Neodiprion lecontei: one gene and its partners. The protein of the gene in region 2 purifies or fractionates together with the protein of the main gene of each other region. This does not show direct contact. Links are inferred from orthologs where the notes say so. Each region holds a gene or a part of one and is shown on either strand. Other genes may lie near its edges.

Region 1 (8,884 bases), about 29 Mb from region 2:
CTAGAAAAACCTCTTTAAAACCTTTTAATACAATGACATATAGACTGTGAAGATACATAGTTTCTTAATCTTTTTAATTAATGACCTTCAACTTGTAACTCCTACACGTTAAACAACCAGAGGAGCCGACATTGACTACCGTTATTCAAAGAACATTGTCTCCACAAATTGTAAATTATGAATTCGACTGTATCTTAGTCCGCTTACTATAAAAAGGTAAATAACTCTCTAAGTCTATCTTTTTTTCAATTAATCAAAATTGTACTCATTAACCTATAATATATAATAGCCCTAAGAGTATTACATCTACTGTATTTAATGTCTGATTGTACTTTTCTTATAAAAAATTTTTGTTGTTCTTGACAGTTAAATAAATAAATCGTTCTGAGGGGGGTCCATATCCGGGCCGAAACGTTAACAAAAAATACGTTTACATAATTGACCGATCACCAAGATTCAATAATAGACTGTTACACTTTCCGTCGAATGCGTATATAAATATTTCAGGGTTTTTCATATTTTTTTAAAAACAATGTCAAGTTCGGAATAAGGCTATCTCAAGTTTAAAGTCTCATTTCGGACTGCACAGAAAAACAAATTGTTTTTCACAGACCGAATGCACAGACGTTTAAACGTTATATATGTGCAAAATGGCATAGTTTCAGCGAGATTTTTTAAATTTCTAATTCTTTTCTCTTCAAAGGACTCTTAAATATTGTACACAGATACGTGAATCCAGCAATTCGAAACTTATGAAGAAGGGCGTGTTCGGAAATTGACTGAAAGTACCGTCAGTACTGAAAATGGACTTGGATTTTCAGTACTGACAGTACTTGCAGTCAATTTCCGAACACGCCCGAAGTAACTCGAAAAAATTGCAGAAAAGTGTGTAACCCACAGCTGCCTAAAGCCAAAGAGTGCCTAAAGCAACTACTCGGTGTCTGAAATCTTGTCCAATTTCATCGGCGAATCAGAGAACGGAACAACTCCATTGTGAATGTTGTTGAAAATTTGGCTTGACGCGTCGCTCTGAACATAGGCATACTGGTCCTGCTCGCCGTAGGGTGGTTATGTTCAGAGCACAAACCGTCGACGTTAAATCCACGCCGAAAAATATCGCGTGAGCCGCGTAGAAAATAAAATGTCTTCTTCGCAGCTAATAGATACGAAGATTTACTCGAATAGTTCATAGGTAATATATTGGAAAGACTGCGGTGTTGTCGAGAGCGTGGGGTTTTCGTTTTCCGCATTTATTCATTACATTGCAAATTGCCATTTCATCGGAAAATCTGAAAGATAATCGGCAAGTCGATATTTACATCAAGCTCGTGTTACAGGTGCGAATACGATCGGACTGCTTATTTTTCAATACAAACACCGTTCGCCCTTACAGACAATAACGGGCGATAGTCGATAGATTATCGGAAAAAATATTTCGTCCCCCCACCGCGATTCGGCGCGTCTGGCCGTAGCAGAAACGAGGATTGAATTCAATTTTGGTATACAACAGTTCCGAGGGTTCGATGTTGTACGCATTTGGGTATGATTGAAGAAATACTCATGACAGAAAGTCGGAGAGAACTGGGAATATAAATAGCGTTCAACGCATTCTTAACTGGCACTTTAATCTTTACGACCCGCAGGAGGCGAGGCGAGGGTATGTCGTCAGACGTATACGGCCTCCCTGATTTCGGACGGCCGCGGCGCCAAAAACCTACCATAAATATTTCCAAACCAACTGCGAGTCTGCAGGCTATTACAGGTGTTGTAGCGTCGGAAAAATATATACCGTAGAGGGCCAAGTAGAGCCAAACACAAACAGGGTGTATATGTATATATACATATATATACATATATACATATATATATATATATATATATGTGGCATACGCGAGGAGAGAGAGAGAAAGAGAGAAAGAGAAATGAGTAGAACGATGAGAGAGCAGTAAGCGGCACCCGCGACGTCTTGTTATGATTAAGGGTGGAATTTAATGAAAGTACGACAATAGACGATAGTATATAATTTTTCCTCCGCGTCCGCAGGTATGTGTGCATGTATTTACACACATGTAGCCTTGCATTACGTTTTATGCGGGCACATTGAGGGCCGTTGTGGGGAAAGCCCTTGAGCCCCGAGTTGATTGTTGTTTGTGAAAATTAAAGCACGGAAATAGCGTGTTTGTGTCACGTTTCCGATTTTATATGTATACCTATCCTTATCGAAGTATAGATCTATTGAGGTATAATAATCAAGGCTTTGAGCTGGGTAGTTTGCAGCAAACAAATGCCTCGAGGAAAAATAATACAGTCAGGCGCATTGAAGAGTTGATTTTATGTGTATATGCGGTCTTGAAGGTTCTGACACACATCTAGGGGATATAGTTTCACCATTTATTATTGAAGTACACATGGCGATATGCACGTGACAATGGGAGAAACGTGTTCAATAATTCATCAAATCGACGCAAAATGCGGTCAATTTAATCGCGTGTGCATACGTGTGTACAATAATCCACCCAGTTCAGTAACAAACATTTACCTTTTTATATACATATAAACTGTTTTTCGAAAACCTTTGCGGAGATCTGATTTGTGATCACTACACAGTCTTTAGCTATTTTCGTTTTCTACTATAACTGAACAATATAGTTATAGATATAAAATGGAGATAAGTTTTGTAGCCGTAACCAGATGATCCAGTATGTATATTCTTTTGGATTATGCGGTCACTCATAATATATTTTTTTTGTTAGTATCGCGGTAATTTGATGCCGGTGCAACAATAAATTGAATGCAATCAAAAATGAGGCATACGCTACTGTAGTAACGATAAATAGTCATTTGTGCCACATTTTCTTGTGATTTCGACTGTAGTACTTCAACCCGCTGAAGTCGATTTCGGTGTCCAATCACCCATTGCCACCTTACAAGCGTTGTCCTTAAACTGTGACTTCCTTTGCATTAAGACTCGCGGTGTTTTATTAAATTGAAATATCGACTGCAGCCTTAACAGTCATATTTTCGAAACTCTAACGATTTCACTTCACTTATACTTGCGAGACGAAACATTGTTATTTAAATACGTTTTATTATCAAAAGAATTTACGGTTCGTTTACATCCAGGGTGGACCCGAACAGGATTCCTAAATATAATCGCCCTAAACCTTGTTTAACGATACCTATTTTATCAGAATTTTCTAGGAACTTCAATAAATTAATTTTTTACTCACAATCAGTGAAAAGAGAGTTAATTCGACAATAAAAAAAAGCAGAAATAGCAATTAACAATAATTACATGTAATCGCCATCCGCTTATAGTAGTATATATCGATGGTGATCGGATTTTTTAATATTCAAAAGAATTTTTTTTATATACTTGGAAAGGGGAAAGATGTCCTCCTCGGCTGCAGGGGAACGGGCTTATTGTCGGTCTGTAAAAGACCGCAGAGCGGTGTGGGTGAAAAATTTGCCTAATTCAAGGAAATCAGAAGATATTCTGCGAAATCCGCGAAACGGTCGAGGTTCCACGTTGGAGTATCTCGAAAATCAGTTCGACTCTCTCTCAGTCGCCGCATCAACCGTTCCCCGCATTTGAGTGGTGCCATCAACCGGAAGCGGTGGAATCAAAGGTTATTGATTCAGGCACTGAATTAGGTCTAAAAGGCCTTTCAACGTAGATTTCTTCATAAATGCACCGTCCCCCCACCGCTTTACAAACCCGTCGTTTCTCTCCTTGCCCTTCCCGTCGTTCGAACGCTGCTATGCCACGAGCTAGCTGACAGATAAACCCATCAAGGCTCGGGTTGCCTTGGCATCGCCGGAGAAACAAATCCAGGTATTGTATACAGGCATGCATGTATCCCGAAGAATTAACAGCTGTACACACCGAATCTCAAGTCAACCACACATACGAGCGCTCGTGCAGTAATCAGCCTGGCATAATACCTGAGCGTGGATCTCGTCCATGCGCCCCGCAGGCACATGGGGTACATAAACCTGTATCAACTATATAGCAGTGCATTTAACCACTTTGTGAAATAACCGTATATTTTAATGTGACGTAGCATTCGATACGTTGGGAAGGTGCGCGCGCCTCTCCCCCGTAGGGGTGGCCAGACCCGCGACACCGTCAGGCAGGGGTTGGTTGCCCAGTGGCGGGGGTGATTTCTGTAGGGAGCGCGCAGTGTTCGCGAGTACAGGGGAAATCGGCTGGTATAGCTGCGAGAAGGGTGCGCCCTACTTCGCGTCAGGGAACGAACGCTTGGGCAGCGCGTTGTTTGTATTTAAAAAAAAGAATCTTATCGCGACCAGTGAGTTGTGTCAGATCGAGACAAGTATCTAGTGAGAGTGCGAAGGAAACACTTGTCGTTTATGATTTAGACGAGTAATTTGTGTAGTCACTGTGGGAGATAAATCTCCATCGACGTTACGACGCTTGTTGTGATGATTTTCTTTCACAGTGTAGATGATAACGACAGTGCGCGGGACGTTTTATTACCTAGGAGACAGAATCACACGAGGCGTTGGTGCGTATGAGGTTCGATCGCTCTTCGCACCGTGAGTGAATTCAGTTTTGGTGCAGGGTGAAAAAGTTGGACGGGGCACACGGTATAAATATATCAGATACAGAGACGTAGGCGGACGGCGGACCCTTGGGAGCGAGACAATTCGCGAAGAGTTGTACTACATATACGACGATACGTGCGACGACACTTGGTTCTTCTCGAGTGTGTTATTCGGGGGTAAAGTGCTCGCCGGAATCACGGCTACTCAATAATAATGGAAGGAATTCTGTATTGTCCTTGTAAAATGTGACTGTCGGTGATTCGACTCGTACCGCGGGAGTCGGAAGGGATTTAATATAAGTTGAGTGAAAATGACTATCGCGAAAAGAATATTGGGCGCTGGGTTTGGTCGTGTGGTTGTAAAAGAGATGCCCCGGCTGGGTTAACGGTATGAAATTATCGTCGCGGGGTAACTGCGCGATAAAATAACGACAGTCATCATGAACTTTCTACAGATAATTTACTACGCCACAGCAATGTTCGTCGTTGGATCACTGGGGGAGAAGTGTTCGGACGATTGTTCTTGCAAATGGAAGAACGGGAAGCAGACGGTAGAATGCACGGATCGCTCCCTAACTACCATTCCCGGGTGGATCGATTCGGAGACTCAAGTGTTGGACATGAGTGGAAATAAAATTAAGGTCCTACCAAAGTACATTTTCAAACGATTAGGACTTACGAATCTGCAGCGGCTATACTTGCGCGGCTGTCACATTGACCGAATCGACAGCGAAGCTTTGGCCGGCTTGACTAATCTTGTCGAGTTGGACTTGAGCAACAACTTGCTCACGTCAATACCAAACACGAGTTTCGCCGACACGCAATTTCTGCGGGATTTAATACTGTCCCACAATCCAATACAAAAAGTACCGGCGAACGCTTTGAAGTACACCCCAAACCTCGTCAAGCTCGACATATCAAACTGCAAGATAAACGAGGTTGATTCGAAGGCCTTCGAGGGCCTGGGACTGCTGGAAAGCCTGAAACTGAACAACAACAAATTGGTCAACCTTCACCCGAGCATGTTCGAGTCGCTCGAGAAGCTGACCAGTATCGCTCTGCACGAGAACCCGTGGAAGTGCGACTGCCACTTGAGGGACATAAAAATCTGGCTCCTAAAACGGAACATCCCAACGCTCGTCGCCCCGGCATGTCGCGGGGGTCCCGATCAACTTCTTGACAAAATGTTCTCAGAACTATCAGTCGACGATTTCGCCTGCCGTCCAGTTCTCCTAGTCGTGACTCGTTACGCCGAGGCGACGATCGGGGAAAACGCGAGCATAGTTTGCCGGGTGAGCGCCGTACCACCGGCTCAAATAAAGTGGTACTGGAACGGCAGGATGCTCGCGAACCATTCGGCGTTCAGCAGTTTCCAGAAAATCCTGATATTCGAGGAGGGCCAATCGCGGAAGAAGAGCACCCTCGTCCTGACAAACGCCCAAGAGTCGGACTCGAGCGAGTTTTACTGCGTCGCCGAGAACCGGGCCGGCAGCGTGGAGGCCAATTTTACCCTTCACGTGTCGCTGAGAACGGCGGGAATGTCGACCCTGGGCTCGGGTCAAATAGCCGGAATCTCCGCGGCCCTCGTTGTGTTAATTCTTTTCATCCTGTTAATCATCCTCGTGTTGTTTATCCGTCTGAGGAGAATGCCTCTGAAGGAAATCAAGTCCTCCGGGGGCGCGCAGGACGGCGTTGCAGCAGGCAACGGCGTCGTCGAAGGCGGCGGCTCGTCGTCACGGAGAAAAACCGACAATGACGAGGCGACCTCGTTCGCCACGTTCGCCGAGGCGAAGCCGCCGGCATCCCTGAACCTGAACTACGTCCAGAAGCCGTACGCCTTCTCCGAGGACGATTACACCTTCGCCCGCTACACCGAGAGCCATGCGGCTTCCGGTCCCGGGCCGTGCTACTCGTCGACGACGTCGCTGATGCTCGTCGAGAACCCCGACCTTATTCGGGACACGCGGCGCGGTTCGGCCGACGAGACTAAACCCTTCACACCCGGCGGCTACAGCATAGAAGTAAAGAACAACAAGCTCCTATACTCGAACTGCATATGGGAGTCGAAAGAGGAGATTCCCGTCGGCGGGTACGTCGTCAAGGACATGCAATCGGCGATGACGGCTTCCGTGGACGCGGCGCAAGTCGCCTCGTCCGTTCCTCCGGGCGCTAAGCAGATCCGCGTTTGGCAGAAGGGCGTCCCGGTTTTGCCACCCGTTTCCGCCCTGAAGCGGGTCCTCGGTTCAACACGGAGCTCGCCCGACGAAGGATACCAGGAAGGCACAGGCACCGACGTCTAGGTACCGCTTCTTCATTACTGCGATGCCCGACACAGATACTTGGAGTTACGCAGACGGCACCAGGATGACTTATACGACTAATCAATGCCAAAGGACATTATTCATTCGTTATTTTGGCCATCGGTTTTCACGTGCCGGACGGGCAGTAGTGAACTTTATCAAAGTGGTACTCGAGACGTTGCGTTACACGGCCTTCGGCGAGGCTCAATTTTCTTGTGCGGTACAGAAGTTTCTTATACTTCGTTGTACCGAGGGTGATCAGAGATGCTGTGGGCTAAGCTCTCGCAGTCTTTAGTGAGACGTAGAGAAAAGCAAGACAATGTCATTGTTTCAGTGGTCTTATGGCACAATATTGACGGGTAATTTCTATACGGCAATGCCAAATATACAATTTATAAGTAAAGACTGTAAATGTTCCAAAAAATGTATAGTTAGCGAGGGTAAATTATTAAAGTCACATGTTGGTATATATAAATGGATTTTCTATATGGTCATATTTAATTAAAAAAAAAACACTAGACTAATCATCATATTCTTTTATACACTTCCTCTCTCGTTCACCTACACGAATCAAAATCTCATCACTTTGTTGTACAGTTCAACGTCTGGAAAATCGATGTCACCCAATCGACTTGATTTCGATACACACATCTCTTATCTGGGGTCAAATCTGGTCGTGGGTGAATAATTCGTCCTATGGTTGGAAGTACTAGTGTGGTATTAATGAGAAAGTTATACTTTTCATACGAAGTGTAGTCTTTCGCGTATACTTGTGTCTACGCTTTATGCCGTTGTGTCGTGCAAGCTCACTCAGCCTGTGTAAACAAACGATCATTCGGTTATTTGTGTTGTACTCCTATTTACCCAATTCTTTTCCAGAAAGTGTAACATATCGTTCATTTATCGAGTCACACTAAACATACGTTTGGTTTCACAGTTTTTCGAACTTTGATCACAAGTTTTTCACGGGTGCAACAACATTTCAAATTGAATACTATACCTAGCCCCATGTATTTGTATAAAATATTCTCAATCTCGAACGTAATAAATTAAAGTGTCATCTAAACTCTCCGTTCCGATCGTTTATGTAAAGCTCTTCTCTCGCGTGACACTGACGACTATATCAAAGTGAATTCTTACAGACATCATCCAGGTCACTAAATGCTACAGCAAAATGTGGAGCTTAAGAATTGATTGTCTTGGCCAGATTTCCAGTGCCCGGAAAACCCGCTAGTCAAGTCCTACTGCGTATATTTTTATTCGCAGTTGAACAATCCCCTGGAATCAGTGGCAGAGTGTATTTTATCGTCACCGCTCTCTTGTACTTTTAAGTCCTCACCGCTCCAAGTTTTGGTTTGAAGTGAGAGCCAAGCCAATAGACATGCAATGACGAGGATCTCGTGCCCGATTCGCCATTCGAACACACTCGAGCGTATTGAATTGAATATCTGGATTTCGATCCTCATTGCAGAGCCAACATATCAATCGATTACCAATTTTTCGCTCGCATTGGCCCAGCCTGAAATTTCGCCCCTTCCGTTCGAGGGAGTGTCTTGTTAAGCCATAACACTTGAAATTCCGGTTCGCCCCCCTCGGTCTTGCATTTTTTTCTCGTCTATTTCTCTCGCGATCAATTGGCTAGAATGATTGAGAGACCGTAGTGATTGACGCACGGCTGGGCATGTACACCAAGCCTCGCACGTTCCTCCCCCGCATCGTGACAAACTGGCGGTATACACAAACTTGACGGAGAACACATCACTGTCCAGGATGGGAATGGTGCCGTTTCTAAGCAGTTGATGTATTCATGATGTGCCGATGAAGCGCTATTTTGGGCCTTACAAATTTCGGTGAAAAATTAGGGAGTCTGATACATTTTTAACGTACGAAATTACAGGGTGTCCAGTAGTCCTGGAAATCCTTGAAGTCCTGAAAATATCCTCTGAATCATGACTCCTTGGAAACGTCCTGAAATTATTCTTCTGTCCTGGACATTCATACGATTACAATATTGTTCGA
Region 2 (8,011 bases):
ATTTCAAATATACATATACTTCAAATACCGCGGCGGGTTTCTCGGACTAAAAAGCTACTGTCGTTTGATTCGCCTACGGTGGGTCGTAGAAAATCAATTGCTCCCGCAGTGTGTAGCTGATGTTTGTTTCAAATACCGTAAATGTTGTCCGGGTCATAACTCTATAATTCGCGTGCGTATAAGTCCATAGCCCTTGCTGCAAATAATTCCAATTCGAGCCCTGTATGGGCATTACGTGATTTTCCGTATAAGCCGGACTTAGTCGTTAATAGCACATTGCGGTGAACATTTTCGACTGAACGGTGTATATAACATAGTTGACGTCGAACGTGGGCGTCCCATGAGTGGGTGTTGGTCGGAGATCGGAAATCGTGGCAGAGTACGCTGCAACGATGACATCACCGAGGCCATGCCAGCTGACTCGACTTAGATGGAGCGAAAGATGTTCGCGAAATGAAAGTTACAACGCTGAAAGGGTTTTGACGTCACGGTACAAGTTAACGTGGGGGTGATCTTTACGAACGTAGGTAGTTATACGGCGACGAGATCGCGATGAAATATTATCCATCCTGGCGTCCAGATCGGCCATTAGTGAATTCGTGTTCCGTCACCCTGCGTACATTCTTACTCCAAAAGTAGATTCAGACTGTGCGGCCTTTCACGCCAATTAACCAAAACCTCTCAACAGTAGTAACGGTTTCCCATATCGTCGTATTGCAAAGAATGAATACTTGCCAAATAATCGCATCTTCCGACCTAAATTTTATGCCAACTTCCCATAACGGCATCCCTTATATCTGAACGCGGTCGGAGACGGGGAACGGGATAAAGATGTTAATCAGATTAGAATTGTGTCGCTGTTCGCCGAATTGATACATCACACCGCAATTACGCATATTATAGAAACTTGTAATAAATAACATCGGATGCCGGGATAGAGAATTCATCAGAAATTAAACCCCACTTGTTTGCGAAATTCAAAATGGATTCATTCAGAGACGAATCAGTCGTTTATTTTGTAGAAGCCGACGGGAACAACACGCAAAAGGTGCGGGCGCCATTATCGAAAGATATTATGGTCCCGAGCTCAATTGAGCTAATACAACGCGTGAAACAAATGATGACCAAGTGATGACGATGCTGCAGTTGCTGAACCGTCCAAAACCGCATCGTTATAGTTGAAGTGGAGATAATAGCTTACCTGTCGTAATCGGCACAGTGAAAAGTAGCATCGGATGTCAAAGAGTCAGTGCAATTCCAATATAGATTCTGAATTCAGTATTCTGCTTACTGTGGATAGAGATGAAGTGGAGACGCAGTATGGTACAATTGCAAAAGAAAAAGATTGCGTCATCTAAAGAGCCAAGATGTAGGTGTTGAACCCAACTTATCGTTAGCTATGCTCACAATTTTCATTTAGAGCAGACTCGGTATAGCGATGCACCACCGGATATCACGGAAATACGCCGATAACCGTTTGTTTTATTCATATTTACAGCCGACTGGTGCCCGCTCCGATTGTTCCTAACTTATTGTACATGAAATCTCATACACCCGGGCCTTGATGTTATGAAACATATCTCAACCAGATACCTAAATCTCGCATCTAAGAGATGCCTAGATTTGCTAAAATAAATACGGCCCAGTGATATCCAGTTCAAGAACCGTATACAGAGAACGAATTTTGGATGGCACGGCGGTGCGGGTACTTTCGAAACTTCACATTTGCTTGCTTCGATGAATTTTCAATCGAATTCTAATCGGCAAAGCTCAACAGCCACGCGCATCATTTCTGTGCATAATTGATATTTGTGGCACCATCACCGTTATACCAATGTCTATCCGTGCCGTTGAGGAAAGAGAGAAGGACTTTCCTGTAACTCAATATTCTGCGAACAGTTATTTAAATGAAATTGGCGTTGGCATAGGCGTATAATGACGTCGAAATCCAGCCTGGCCGCGGTAAGAGAAACATCTTTTTTATAGTAAAAGGACCAAGATTCGTGATGCCGATAATAAATAATAAGATCCCGCGGAGCTGTCGAGCTATAGACCATCCCTAATGTCTAAAATAAAGTAGTCTTCGTTCCATCATAATAATTTGCATCGAAACCACAATCAAGTTCGAATTAGGAAAGCTCAGTACGAATCGCTGTATTAGCGCAGCACTTGAATTACGTAGACTCCTTTCCGCCTTGTTAAATCGTAAAATCGTTAACATCCAGTTGCCACAGTCCTGGGACCCGGGCAATTTCAGGCTCCCTTATTTACGACGTTGGATTACGTTGAAGCGAGCTTTTTTAAGCAATCCTCTGTAATAAAAAAAAAATTATCACGGGCTCACGGCGAGAACCGTGTCAACTGAGTCAACATCGTCACTTATGCATTGATATCGTTGATAACAACGTCCGTCCGATTGTTTTTACAATCTTCAAGAACACTGACAACGAGCATAGGGACCTGTATACCTACGCGGATAGTATATCCGTAGATGTGTGGATAGATGGTTAGGTGCATCGAAAAATGGAAAGATGGATAGATGGATGAACGAATATATTGGTAGAAAGGCAGGTAGCTAGGTGGACGGGTAGATCGCTAAGTTGATCGAAGGACGATGAGAAAAGGTTAAGGAGTACAAGAAAACCAAATTGCCCTCTAACAGAGGAGATGGAAGGGGAATTTGTGGCAAAAACCGTTCTTTCGCCAACTCCTAAAACATGTACCCATGCATGTTGTGCACACATGGATTCAGGAGGAGAACCATTGGGAAACATTCTCGAACATTTTTTATTACGGATAGCTTACCCGCTCGGCTAAGGCTAGCGTTGCAGTTACAGAATATGCCACGTCGCCGTCACCTACTGTCGTTGCTGTGATGAAATCGCACAGAATTACATGCTATCCGGAAGATGTGGTAAGATGCGATCATCATACAGAGCCTCCGTTCGAATATTAAAACATTGTCTGCGGGGCTGGGGTACGGACCAGAGAAGCGCCAGGAAAGAATAGGCCAAATTATTCAAAAAATAAACAAATGAGGAATTGGTTGAATACTTTCCAAATTTCCTAGGAGTGAAAACAGCGCAATTCGGATGATTGAGTAAATATTCACTCTTTAAGAGTGAACTTTTCCAGTCGAAACGCATGGAGTGCATAGAGTCACTCTAAAGAGTGATTATATGTCTTTCACTCCAAGATATTAAGAAAGCAAGCGAATACCAGCACTGGAAGTTTATCAGAAAGCGATTTTTACGAGGGGCTTACGATTATGATCTAATATTCTGACAAAACCACACGTTACCGTCGTACAACTAAATAGTAGTGAAGAGGGTATTTCTTGTATTTAAATAATGTAACGAAAGTACCGGTGACATCATATCTGAACCTTCCTCTGCGTGCTGTACTCATGCCTGTATTGAAAACACGCATCGGATATTATATTATGTCCACATACGTAGTATACTTATACGTATTAAAAATGTTAATTTGAATTTTTTCTCGAGACCAGCGATGTTCACATTGACTAATTAACTTTATTACATGTTTTAGAAAGAAGTCATCCATTCTGGCATGTGCCAGACTTGGTGAATTGGGCGCGATGGAAACCGCAACGTTCGTTCGAAACGCATTCGACTTTCTTGACGCGTGTCCGAAAGCCGTGCTTCCGAGGCCAGTCTCCGTGGCATCCCTCAAGGTCACCTTGACAGAGTCCACGGATCCGTGGAGGGCATGAACGCTCACCATGTCAAGTCTGCATCGCATCGAGCTCAATTCGCCGTCAACGTACAGTCGTCTCCTCGGCGCAGCACTGATATTGTTGGTGGTTGTCTTCTCGCATCGATATGCTTCCGCAGAACTCAATTCTGAGTTTGTGAAAGGAAAAAGTGAGACAACATCCCGATCTGATCCGAGCTTATTCTATAATTTGATTTACCGCACCTTGGCAACTCTTCTCGCGAAAGAATAGTTGGTACTTGACAAAATCTTCACGACGATTCCGGCAGTCCAAATCATTACATTTTAAGGTTATCAATAGGGCATATAGTAACACAGTGATTTAACAGCGTTAGGTCGTCTCATCGTTAGGTGTATTACGATTTTGACGATGGTACGTCCGTGAGAATGTTCGAGGTCTCATGTTAGATATACGTGTGTGTATATATATATATATATATATATATATATATATATATATATATATCAAATAAATTTCAGATAGAGTGATCCGAAAGCGTTATTACTTGGGCATGATTCTACACGGTCCAAGACTTTTGACCTGCTATATTGTAGAATGAAGACACGCGGAAGAGTATACCTCAACTCGCAGAGATGTACTCCACAAGCGTTGCATGCATTTCTTCCAATTCTGATGTCAAAATAATAATTTTTCCATTTTTCAGCTGACAACACTGAGTTCCAAGCCCTAACGAGCCAGAAAAGTGAAATTCTTAAGCAATCCTGCTCCGTCACTGTACTTTGACCTTGACATGTTTCTAACCCTGAATATATTTCTAGTAACGCATTTGACTTCTATGTTTTCCTTGATTCTTGGCATATATTCAGTGTTCTGTATTTTTGATTAACCTGTAAAAGGGAAGAATAATTTATTATTACGGTTAACTGTGTATTATTGGGGCTGATCATTCGGATTTAGAATCCTGTAGTTGGAAAACCCTTGAACAATTTATCGAAATGGTCGAAACCGTCCGTGTTCAATCAGCCAATAAAACTTTGGTAATTAACATAATCTGATGGCTATTGCGTAATTCGTTGTACACTAAAATGACTACCAGTATTAGGAATTATCCTAAAAAATTTAGAACTTGTGAAACTTGGTGCCTTTTTTGAACTACATGTTTAAAATTTAAATTCAATCAATTTGCCTGTATGGCTTTAGGTGTCCAGCAAATACAAACAAATATAGTTTGTCATTTGACAGGTTCCATGCTGAGTCTTGTTCAACCTTTCGTTGTCACACTGAATCTTTGGACTTTGGGACTAAATATCTGTAACTGAAAGGGTGAAAATGGATCCTTCTCTGCCACCTACCGATAATTTGGTGGTTCTACTCAAAGGCTGTCCGTATCTGCCTACCAGTGCACACATACCAAAATGTGTTCATGCGACAGGTGCTTACGGAACATCGTGATCAGCTTCATGGGTCAGAATGAATATGCTTTGTGAATTGTACACTAACAAGCTATTTCTTTCCCCCATTGCGTAGCCCGTTTCGAGAGTGTCACGCAATAATATTGCGGAAAAAATATTAAAAATTGAAAAACTTACAATTTTTTATACGAAGAACCTCTTTTTGCAAACTTATGACTTTGTGAATTTTTTTTTAACGTGTCGCCATTCTATTTCTCCTAAAACAGCAATGAATTCTTATTTTAGAATGTTCAAAGTATTTCTCCCAATTTTTTGTTTCAAACCAGAATGATAGTTTGCATGTAACAGCGTTCTGAAATCCGATATGGGGTCAATTTGACCCAAAGCAACACCGGCGGGATTCCCCGGAAGTGTGACAACGGAGCGTTGAAAGATTTGGTCGAAAACAATGAAAGTGTTGTAACTTTTGTACCAATGCAAGCAGCAATTGAGTAAGAAAATTAGGTTGACTCCTAGAAGCGTTCGATTTCAATCAATTTGCATCCGAAACCTTGAATGATAGAGATGAGGAATGAGAGTTCCTTCCGTGTTGCCACGATTGCTACAAGAATACCACGGTACGTAGCAGAAAATTTTTTAAAACTGCAGTCAGTTTGTATGAATATATGGCGTAAAAAATGTTTGGTTAATTCAAATAAGAGTGGTTTGATACGATAACACAAGTTATTGTTGTAGCCACCTTTCTGTTGAAACAAATGACATTCACACGAATGAAATAAATATTTCTTGCGCCATATCTGACTGCCATACTTGGAAAAGTCAACAAATCCTTGCTCCGTATGTGTGTGGGGATGATGCACGTGTACGGGGATTCCACGCACCGTTCCTAACCATTGATCGAATCGACGTGAAATGCGCCCGTCCGAGGTAGCGCTCCACGCTTGTATTATTTTATCGAGAGAAGAATACTCAGAGCACATAGAGTCTTACGACGTAGGCTCTGAAGGCAAACAGTTGTTATAATACGAATACAAGCAATATTACCGTTCAAGGTTGAACTGGGTGGCTGAGGTGATCAAGGTTCACAATAAACCGCCGTCCGGTACTTCTGGTAGAGTTAATATCCAGAGAAAGGCTCACGTACTCGGAGCCAGACACGAGCTGGTCCTGCAGCCTCGCAACCTCACAGTCCCAGAGCCGTCCGGCGAGGTGAGATTGCGCGAGAGCGACCAAGACCCGGAGATGCCTGAAAGGCAATACGGAGAGAGATCGACGAACAAAGCACATTCCACACGCCGTTATTTGTTCCTTGTCTGCGGTACATTTCAGTTCTGAACTCCTTAGCTTTTCCTATTTTTCTTCAACTTACCAGTTGTATACCCCCCCCTCTTCCCCAGCTTTTCACCCTCACAACGGATCAGCGTGCTAAATAAAGAGGTCGAAATAAATCTGTTACATTCTCAATCGTCTCTGTGCCAGTATTGTTTGGAAAATATGCTATGAATCGAATCAACAAGCGAGCAGATTATTTTTATTTATCTTTTCTGTGCTCATAAATCTTCAATAAACTTATAACTTATCCAAGTACACGTGCAGGGGTTGATGCTGAAACGGAACTGATATCTTATACAAGATACTGATCGACGATTAGGCTAGTATCGCAGTTCGTTTTAGAATCACCTTCTTATGCGTACACATGTGTACGTGGGTAACCAGAAGTGACTTTACACACATGAGCTGTGTTCATTTTACTGGCCTACGGCCGGAACCCGATTTTCTACATCTACACTTGGATGTAAAGAATTGATGCAGGCATTAATAAATATAGCTACTGTGCGGTGTATAATACGGCTTATGCTTGAGAAACTATCAACTTAAAAACGTTACACTTATTTGGCCTTGTGAGTTTTGTTTTACCCTCTTCATGAAAATTAAGAGGAATATTGACAAGAGTGGCGAAAGGAACTATCAACGTTCGTGTTGCTTTTACTTTGATCTCACAGGGTGTAATGCAGTAGCCGCTCCGGCTGAAACGACATAGAGGCGGCGCGCGGCGTGTACACGCGTTGATAAACAACGGCAGCTTCGCTTTACTACACAACTTTTCGCGCTGAAGGCCTCACGAAACCTTGAATCGAAGCTAGAAAATGTACATTGTACTATAACATGATATTAATAATTCAACTGAGGCTACATGTTTTTTGATTTCGATTTGTTATTCGCTACTAGAAATAAATAGAACAATTCTGAAGTAATCAAGGTCTTCCGGTTGATGAGGTTTACTTATTAGGGAAATGCATTATATGGCCGTGAAAACTCCATACATTTTTACTTTCCAATAATGACTTGAGAAGGTTGGCATTGCGTTCATTCTTTCTCCACAAAGTTATCAAGTTACATATTCTGTTGCGTCCTTGAAAGATACTTTGTTTCGCATCTTCTTGATGAAAGGTTTTTCAAAATTATCTCAAAGGAAAGTTTTTCTTTATCGCATACAGTGCAACCTCGTTGTAAGACGTATGTTAGGGTGGTAAGGGGAATAGGATTCCAAGAAATTCGACGCCGGAACTTTCACCGACTACTACCTGGAGAGCTCAAGAATCACACGTGCGTGAATGTGTCGATGATCAATACCACTCCTCGTTATAAGAGCATCGCAGTTATGTATACGAATTCGGTGTCTCAACACGTATGATCCAACGCAATCGCTTGTTCCCTTATAACGAACGAATATATACGTGGCCATTTACAGTTTAATCAGTCCATGTTTTGTGATTGGTCGGGCGATTCGTGAAAAGACAGTCACAATTTGCCGATGCCTGCGCTTGCCGAAGAAACCGCGAAATCTGCCTATGCGACCAACCCTATTGATCCTCGTTACTTGTTTTATTCCCTCAAACTG
Region 3 (7,998 bases), on a different chromosome or scaffold from region 2:
TCTTCGAGTATTATTGTAAACTATGAGAGGTAAAAATCATACAAATACCGCAAATCTTTGTTTTAACAACTTTTAAAGTTAGACATTTTTCGAACGATGGAACGAATATTTGTACAAAACTTACTTGACTGATAGGGAAAAATCACCGGGAGAACTCTCGCTGATTCTGATAAGAAACGCACCTTCGCGTTTGTTCATCAAAAGCCTTTCCGCATCTGCTCTTGTTATTCTCCCGTAATACCAGCTGCGTACAGGGAACAAAAATAGAAAAGTCAAGTTCTGGTTCTCTCTTTTTTTTCCCTTGTTTCAAACATATCCTTAATTTGTTATCTTAGGCACTTTCAAGTCAGCATCGCCTTTTTCATATAGCTTTGGCTTTGGCTTGGGTCAACAATGGAATGAAACTCATTAAGAAAGAAATACGCCGTCAAACTTACTCGTGATTCTTCATCTCAATGTAATTGCTCGGTATCAAGCCTTCCCTAGAGTCCAATTCTGCTCTGTACCAATTCATGTCGTCTTCCATGTTTAAAATCTAATAAATAGAGAAAGTTAAATCAGTTATTTATAAAATCAAAGGAACAGTGTATTTTGTGCGTTGTTCTTTTGAGATGATGAAAATAAAGAGATTGGAAAATTGAATATGTATGTAAAGGTAAATCCCCAGCTATAAAAAATGACCGATTTTTTTTTCAATTTTCCGTCATTGCTGCTCTTGTCTTCCTATTGATAACGGAGCCAGCTGCATGCTGGTCAGTGTGGTAATAATACATGCTGCGCAAGTATACATGTATGAATAATCGCAGCTTCCACCACCAAAGTAGCAGCAGCAAACCGAACCAAGGTCGTAAGATTAATGAGTTTCGTTTGCAGGAAAGGAGGAGCGAAACTGATATCAACATAACGATAAGCAGGTGGTATTTAAATACCCTATTGATTAGGACAAAAGATAAAAGAAAAAAGGAACGCCAGAGCATACGGGTATTTAAAATGATATTTTCGTGTAGTAATGTATGCAGCGGTTGTTAAAGGAGGAAACTTATCTTAGACGATAATAGATGCCAAAGTTTCAGACAAAAATATCTGTTTGTATACTAATTATTGTTATTCGTCTTCTTCATTTTTTTTTCCTCCTCTGTAATGTGACAATAATTTGTGAATGATCTTGAATTCTTTAGTATGAAATGTCATTTCTAGAATATAACTTATCAATTGCGAAAATTAATTATTAACAATAAATTCTATGGATCGATTTAACGGGATAACAAACAGGGATGTCTGACCTTTCATTAGGAATAGGAAAAGGAATGAACTTTAAAATTTTGAAAATCGGATATCCGCGAAAAAAAAGTTTCTATCTCCAGTTTTCCTTTCAATCTTTATTTTAATTTCATAACGAAATACAATTTAATTTCTCAACATGGACAAGAAATTTTGCGTCATTGTACGACTTGAAATGTACTATTTTTAGGACGTATAGAATGCATGTTACTACACTGCACATACATTTCTAGTCATTCCCTTAGAGTTGCTAAATTTCTCCACAAAAATGGCGCCACTTGCAGCCACTTATAGAATTTTTTATAAATGTGTTGACATTTTCCAACCGATTTACTTTCGTAAATCCGTTACAATATCAACGCCCGTTACATAACTTTCGATGCGTTGCTTTTTTCACAAGTTTGATCGTTTCATCGAAAATTTGCGGATGGGATCGTGGTTCGTTGGTTGGTCGCTGTTCCTAAAAAAACGCGAAATCATCTAGACGAGGAAGAACCGCAGAGGCTCTGTTTTCCTTCATACCTACGTGGGTATCTATCCACGTTTCTCGCATGGTTTCATGAAAATTTATAAATAGGTATAAGAGCGAAGATCGAGTATAGTTTTGCCCAAGCAGAAAATAGCTATGGCATAACTTGGACACGATATTCAGCTCGTGTCAGAGTCAGTCTCAGAAGTCTCAAGACTCAGTTCCCTGCATACGTGCTTATGTACAATATTCTCGATTTCTGGTTTCGTCATAGACTCTTACGACAATGTAGTTACGCGTAGGAGAAACACGATACTCCGAAAACAATGACAAACTTCCACAAATAATATTCATTCCGATGTCGAAATAATATACAATAATCATCAAATGTATACAAAGTAAGAACGATTAACGTATGCGCAACAAAACGTCGTCGTTTCGTTTCTTTCATAGAAATTCTTTATGTTAAATGTACAAATATATTTCACTTGACGCTTCGCTGTCATAAAATATTCAGCAGCTTTTTTTTTTTTTTTATTATTTTGGTACTAACGATCTTTTAAACGATCGAGAAGCATAGATAGCGCGATCACCGAAGAAAGGAAACTTATGCCAATAAAATATTGGCGAGTTTCCTTTCTCTGCTTCTTCTCCTTCTTTTTTTTTTTTTTTTTGTTAATAAAATAAAATTCGAAAGACTCAGATGGATATACCTATAAGCAAGATTCCAAGAAAGTTTTCATGATTGGCTAAATGAATTCAGAAAGGCGATTGGTATCGAATTTTCTCGATTCATGAACCTGCAACCAAAGCGCAAATCAGGGATGAAAGAATTGATATTACACAAAATTGATGAACGCAATGAAAAATTAAGGGTGTAGGCGATGATAAAAAAAAACTAGCCAACTTATTAACAAGGAATAAAAATTCTTTTGCCATACGTAGAGACAATTGTATTACGAAATGTCATATTGTTAGATTGCAAAATCCCGAAACGCGATAAAATCCTCCTCCACCATCCGTAGTGCGGATCAGTGAGATCGAAGAGCGAACACACAGGTGCATGCATACACACATACGTATGTGTATTTCTATATTTGGTGATTGGGAGAATGGCGCTGATGATATGAAAGAATTCGTTACTGCTTTTTGCGGGTGTATGCGCGTGTGCGTGTCCCGTTTTGCTTGTCCCGTGTTGATATCGTTCTTCCTCCTTTCCTTTAGTTTTATCAAATAGACGATGACAGGGCGATGGGTGAAATAGAATAAAAAAAAAAAAAAAAAACGTAGGGAAAAAGCGTGGAACACATTGTAACGTTGTTGAGTCGAACAGGCGATCGTTCGTCATTTGTTTCTATTTTATTTATTTTAATTTTTTTCTTCATTTCTTCTCTTCTCTTCTCTTCCCTCCATACAATCACCGCTGCTATTCTTTTCACCTCGGTTATCTAGGAAACATGTTCCGCATATGCGCGCTGTCCCCCGTTTACATACATCACACGTATGGTATAAGTATAGATAAGATAAGAAGCGTGTTATTTGCGCTTAATTTACAGCGCGAGGCGTAAGAAATGGGATAAATATTGCCATGGCACGATCAGGGATTATACAGGATCCGTCTAGGACGACACATGTGGGTATGCATAAGTAAATAGACACATTGTGTGAAGAGGAATGGATAAACGACGAGATGACGAGAGCGGTGGTGGGCGGGGAAGGGCGGCGAGGAGAGGGTGAGCCGTACCAACCTTCAATACTTGACTCCTACGAAAGCTGAGCTCGTCATCGGCCGTCGCATTGAAATCGTGTTTCGCTATCGCCTCCATGGTGATGATTCACTCTCTTTATCCGAATCTATTTATCCAAGTTGAATCCTGGCAAATCCGTTATATTTGTTATATTTCGCCGAAGAATTTATGCGTGCGATATCAATCGTTCTCCTGCTCCTCCTCCTCGTCCTCGTCCTCCTCCACGTCCTCGTCGTCGTCGTCTTCGTCGTCGTCACGGGTTCTCGGTTAGGTAGGTAATAAACGAACGTCTCTCCCTTGGCACGAACCAGCCTTGAACAACGTCCACCTCGACACAAAGTTCAAACGACCCAATTGAAGAGTAGTTTTTCCTCTTCTTTCCTTTCGTATGTCACACGCAGTGTGACTGGGTATAATAAGCCTATGGGTACCACGTATCGCCGTATGTAATGAGGAAAAAAAAATCACAGCTGCGGATCTACTCCGTGGATGGTGATCGGCCGTTCGTTCGCCTCTCGACGCCCGTCGGTCGCCTTTCGATATATATATATATATATTATCTTTTTTTTTCTTTCACCTCTGATATAGCCTGTTGAGAGAAGAACAACTTAAACTGCACAGTATACAACATACACCACCAGTTGATAATAATCGGACACGTAGATTTTGTGACAGTAACGAAAAACCGCAGCTGGGTTCTTTATTTTGCTTGTTGTTTTTTTATTTTTGATTTTTTATTATTTTTCTTTTCCTTCTCTCGTTCCTTCTCTTTGTACCTCTAAACTTGTTGTGTTGGTGTTGTTAAACTCTTGTTCCTTTTCTTTATCGTTCCTCTTTTGTTTTCGAAACGTTTTACTTATGCACCGAGACGCGTATCTATGTCACGTTCGCGTTTGTATGGTTTAAACAACACACTGTGAACGATATCTGTTTCCTCTCGATCGAAACACGAGTGCCAGGAGCCAGTAGTAGTATTAGTAGCGGTAGCGAAACGCGATACTAGCAGAAACGGAACCCGTAATCTTTCATTATAATTTCGGTCGGTTGTCTTCTTGCGGCAAGAAAATTAGATAATAATGTTCGCCGCGTTAATTGCTCCTTATTAATCGGAACGAACTTTTATTGGTAAACCGTTAAAACTGTCATCAGTTCACGACGACCACCGCAATTGCATACTTCGAGGAATTATAACCCATTGCTTTAAGCTTACGCTTATCAGCCGCCGTCGGTCGCCACTGACCGCTGCTGCACCTCCTGCCTTCTCCTGGGGATCCCGGTTAGCGACGGTGCTGCCACCGCGTCGTTTCACGTCGGTACTAAAACAGCCCGACGATATTTTGGGGCCTGGTAATTTTCACCCGATAGTTTATCCCACCTATCGCTTATCAAGTCGTATTCCCATTGACTACCCCAGACGTTTTGCAGGGTTATTGTAATTGCGGAAAATCCGTTCGAGTACATTTCTACGCGGCAACATGAACGCCATTTTTTTTTCTCATTTTACCTCTGGGACTACTTCGCGACCGCGGAATACGCGACATGCGCAGTCGGCAACAACTCGGTTGTACAGCTCGAGGAAAAGCCTGTCGACTGCTGTCGTCATTCGGCAGAGCCAGGCACGTTTCTTTTCATGAAACACGAACAACCGCCTATCCTCTGCGTCGATGCATGTATGTATGTACATACAAACAAATAAACGCGCATGCGTATAGGTTTAGCGAGTGGAAGTTTACATTCGTAGAAATGATGGATGAACTGTAATAAAATACGGTGTTAAAAATTAATAGAGAAATATTTGTTCATTTACAATGAATTTTGAACCATAAGATCGATTTGAAATTCGCAACTGTATATTAGTATCGTTGATGCACAGGTAGGTATAGATAGGTGTAATTAGCATATAGGTGTATACGTACACCTTGTTCGAGCTGATTATTCCGGCCAGAGACAATGACGAAAATTTACGCGTTACAACATGTATACACATACGTATATCTATACATGTACGCATATTATGAATTATTCAGTATCCGGATAATAAATTATCGGTTAAACTGTTGACCTGTCGTATTTATTCTTCCTTGCGATATCCTCCATGGCCACGGTGTGAAACCTGCGTGCATATCTCTGGTAACGGTAATTTCCCAAATAAGAGAAAAAGATAAATTTTTGTGCGTGAATCATATGTGGCGGTCACTGATCCATTCCGCCGGAAGGTCGAAAGCATCGGACGTCGCCTGTCTGCCGGCGTAGAACGAAACTCATCGACGAAATTGAACATACCATAATAAGGGACTAATAGGAGTTTGAAAATCGAGTGTGATTGATAGGTCGTACCCAGCTAAAATAACCGATTCGTACCATTTTGCTTTGAATCGGGATCGTTTCGAGAATTAAAGAAGGACTCATTCTGATAAATGTATTATATTTGTATTGTGTTACGTTGTATTATTACTGCGCAGCTTTATTAACCAATGTATCCGGGAAACGCTACCCACATACGATGCTGCATACGATAGAGAGATGAAAGAGTTTTCACATACTGCCCAACGCATGTCCAACGACTGTACGATGATGAAAAGAGTGAGACAGAATGAGAACTGTGTTTATTTCAAGTGGGATATATAGCTATATATGGTGGACGATGATGGTTGGGTTCAGTTCCTCTACTTGAACTCGGCTAAGTCTATCATTGTCAAGCAACATCGTCCACTGCGCATGCTTGTACATCCCTTAAGGATCCACCAAAGAGGAACGAAAAATAGAAGAAAGAAGCACGACGGCCCTACAGTTCGCACGTAGTTTCTGCCCTTTTCGATGCAGGTCGCTCTCCGGTTATGTATACCTGCGTACAGGTATAATACATGCATGCATGCACGTCTCTTCGAAAAGAAGATGAAAGGTACTTAAATGCGATCCCCGGACAAACGGGCGGCCCCTGCCACGAGAAGAGCGGGATAGGGAAGGGCTGCAAGGAGAGAGAAGAAGACGGGACGAGTCTGAGAAAAACCGCGGGCTTGAGCACGGGAGATGAAGAGATAGAGAGACGCTCGACGACGGGGAAAGTACGGACCGCACAGCGCGAGAAAAACCACAGCTGGAGTCTGATTCTGTCGCCGTCGTGGCTACGGAGAAAATCAACAATGGAGAATCTTTTCATTTCATTAGTTTTGTTCAACACCAAAATAATGATGCGACTGATAATGATAATGTTTGATACTTGACCCTAGTCACTTACACGGGGTCGAGTTGATCCTAGAACCGACTTTAACGTACAATTTTGAAATCAGCGTGCTTGAATCAGGGTTGCTTGTGCAAGTAAAATGAAGGATGAAACAACTTTTCACTCTCAGAGACCCCATCTATGTATTGCGTATCGTTTTACTTTTTTTGCTTCAAGAATTTCTCCCACATCCTCCATGGTTTTTTGCTAAAACTAACAATAAGATCGGAATCGATTTCTGAATTTTTAAATTTTGTCTCAGAATTTTGTTCAACTCATAACTGTGCATAACTTAATGTTGCGCACAGTAAAAACGTTCCAAAGTTGGCTGGGGTTTGAGTAACCCCGTGTAAGTAATGTGGAAGTTTCCATAGGTGTAAGCGACTAGGGTTAATTATACGGAATGATAAGTGGGTCAATATAACAAACATTTCATCTGGTTTACTACGATGACTATGTTAACTATCGCTGAAAATATGGCTTTCAAATTCACGGCCCTATCTCATTTTTGAGAAAGTTGGTATCGGTTGCTTGAGTAGGATTTAAAATTAAAATTTAGTTTAAAGGAATTTAGCTCCGATACATTAATTTTCGACGTTATACTTTCAAGGAATAAATACATACCCCAATATATCGTCATGTATATAACATATGAATGTACAGACATATAAATCGAGAGAAAGTTTGATAAAATTTTTAGTATACAAAGATTGATAACACGTATGTTATAATTTGAGGAACGTATGGTTTAAGCAAAGTGAATTATAGCATTTTGAAATCTACGAAAAACGCGCGTGACGACCAATTTGTCAAATCATATCGTGTTGCGATTGCGATCGCAACGAATACGTGGTGGGAGTTGGACAACAAGAAGGAAGATGTGAAATAAGTAAGAAAAAAAAAATTACATTATACCCTTACCAGACTTGCGTCAGTCGAGCGATTGACGTAATTCGCTGACGCGTGCTGCGGCCAGTATAAGAGAACTCGCGTTCTAGATGCGCGATTGCGAATCGAGTGCCAACCAGACTTCGATTGATGGTACCTAACTCATTTTCTTCAACTGGATTGTACATTATTGATGAATTTTGCGATAGTTAGGAAAGTAATCAGGTAATTCTTGGCAATTAACCCAATTGATCGTACCTGCCTCTGCCTCCATCCTCCTATCCTTTTAATTTTTTATCCACCCGCCACGAATCCCAGCGCAATCTATTCCCACGGGCCGCGTTTTGCCGATTAAATATCGATCGAATCGCATCATACCGCGACGTGCG

Evidence for each region.
Region 1: the proteins of epidermal growth factor receptor (region 2) and leucine-rich repeat, immunoglobulin-like domain and transmembrane domain-containing protein 2 purify together in Drosophila melanogaster (affinity purification with western blotting; 5 studies listed by BioGRID). This does not show direct contact. The link is inferred for Neodiprion lecontei from reciprocal best matches to the Drosophila melanogaster genes Egfr and kek1.
Region 3: the proteins of epidermal growth factor receptor (region 2) and growth factor receptor-bound protein 2 purify together in Drosophila melanogaster (affinity purification with western blotting; 4 studies listed by BioGRID, with this or other methods). This does not show direct contact. The link is inferred for Neodiprion lecontei from reciprocal best matches to the Drosophila melanogaster genes Egfr and drk.

What each region holds. Positions count from the first base shown.
Region 1 is NC_060261.1:14,887,129-14,896,012, reverse strand, and holds leucine-rich repeat, immunoglobulin-like domain and transmembrane domain-containing protein 2, read left to right. Parts: upstream 1-4,146; 5' UTR 4,147-5,005; coding exon 5,006-6,865; 3' UTR 6,866-7,353; downstream 7,354-8,884.
Region 2 is NC_060261.1:44,219,671-44,227,681, forward strand, and holds the start of epidermal growth factor receptor, read left to right. Parts: upstream 1-3,884; intron 3,885-4,215; 5' UTR 4,216-4,734; intron 4,735-4,939; 5' UTR 4,940-5,161; intron 5,162-5,328; exon of another isoform or gene 5,329-5,435; 5' UTR 5,436-5,664; coding exon 5,665-5,726; intron 5,727-5,844; coding exon 5,845-6,036; intron 6,037-6,161; coding exon 6,162-6,427; intron 6,428-8,011. UniProt on the Drosophila melanogaster protein: Receptor tyrosine kinase, binding ligands of the EGF family and activating several signaling cascades to convert extracellular cues into appropriate cellular responses. Known ligands include spitz, gurken, vein and giant-lens.
Region 3 is NC_060266.1:3,270,614-3,278,611, reverse strand, and holds the start of growth factor receptor-bound protein 2, read right to left. Parts: upstream 4,032-7,998; 5' UTR 3,577-4,031; coding exon 3,499-3,576; intron 536-3,498; coding exon 438-535; intron 245-437; coding exon 125-244; intron 1-124.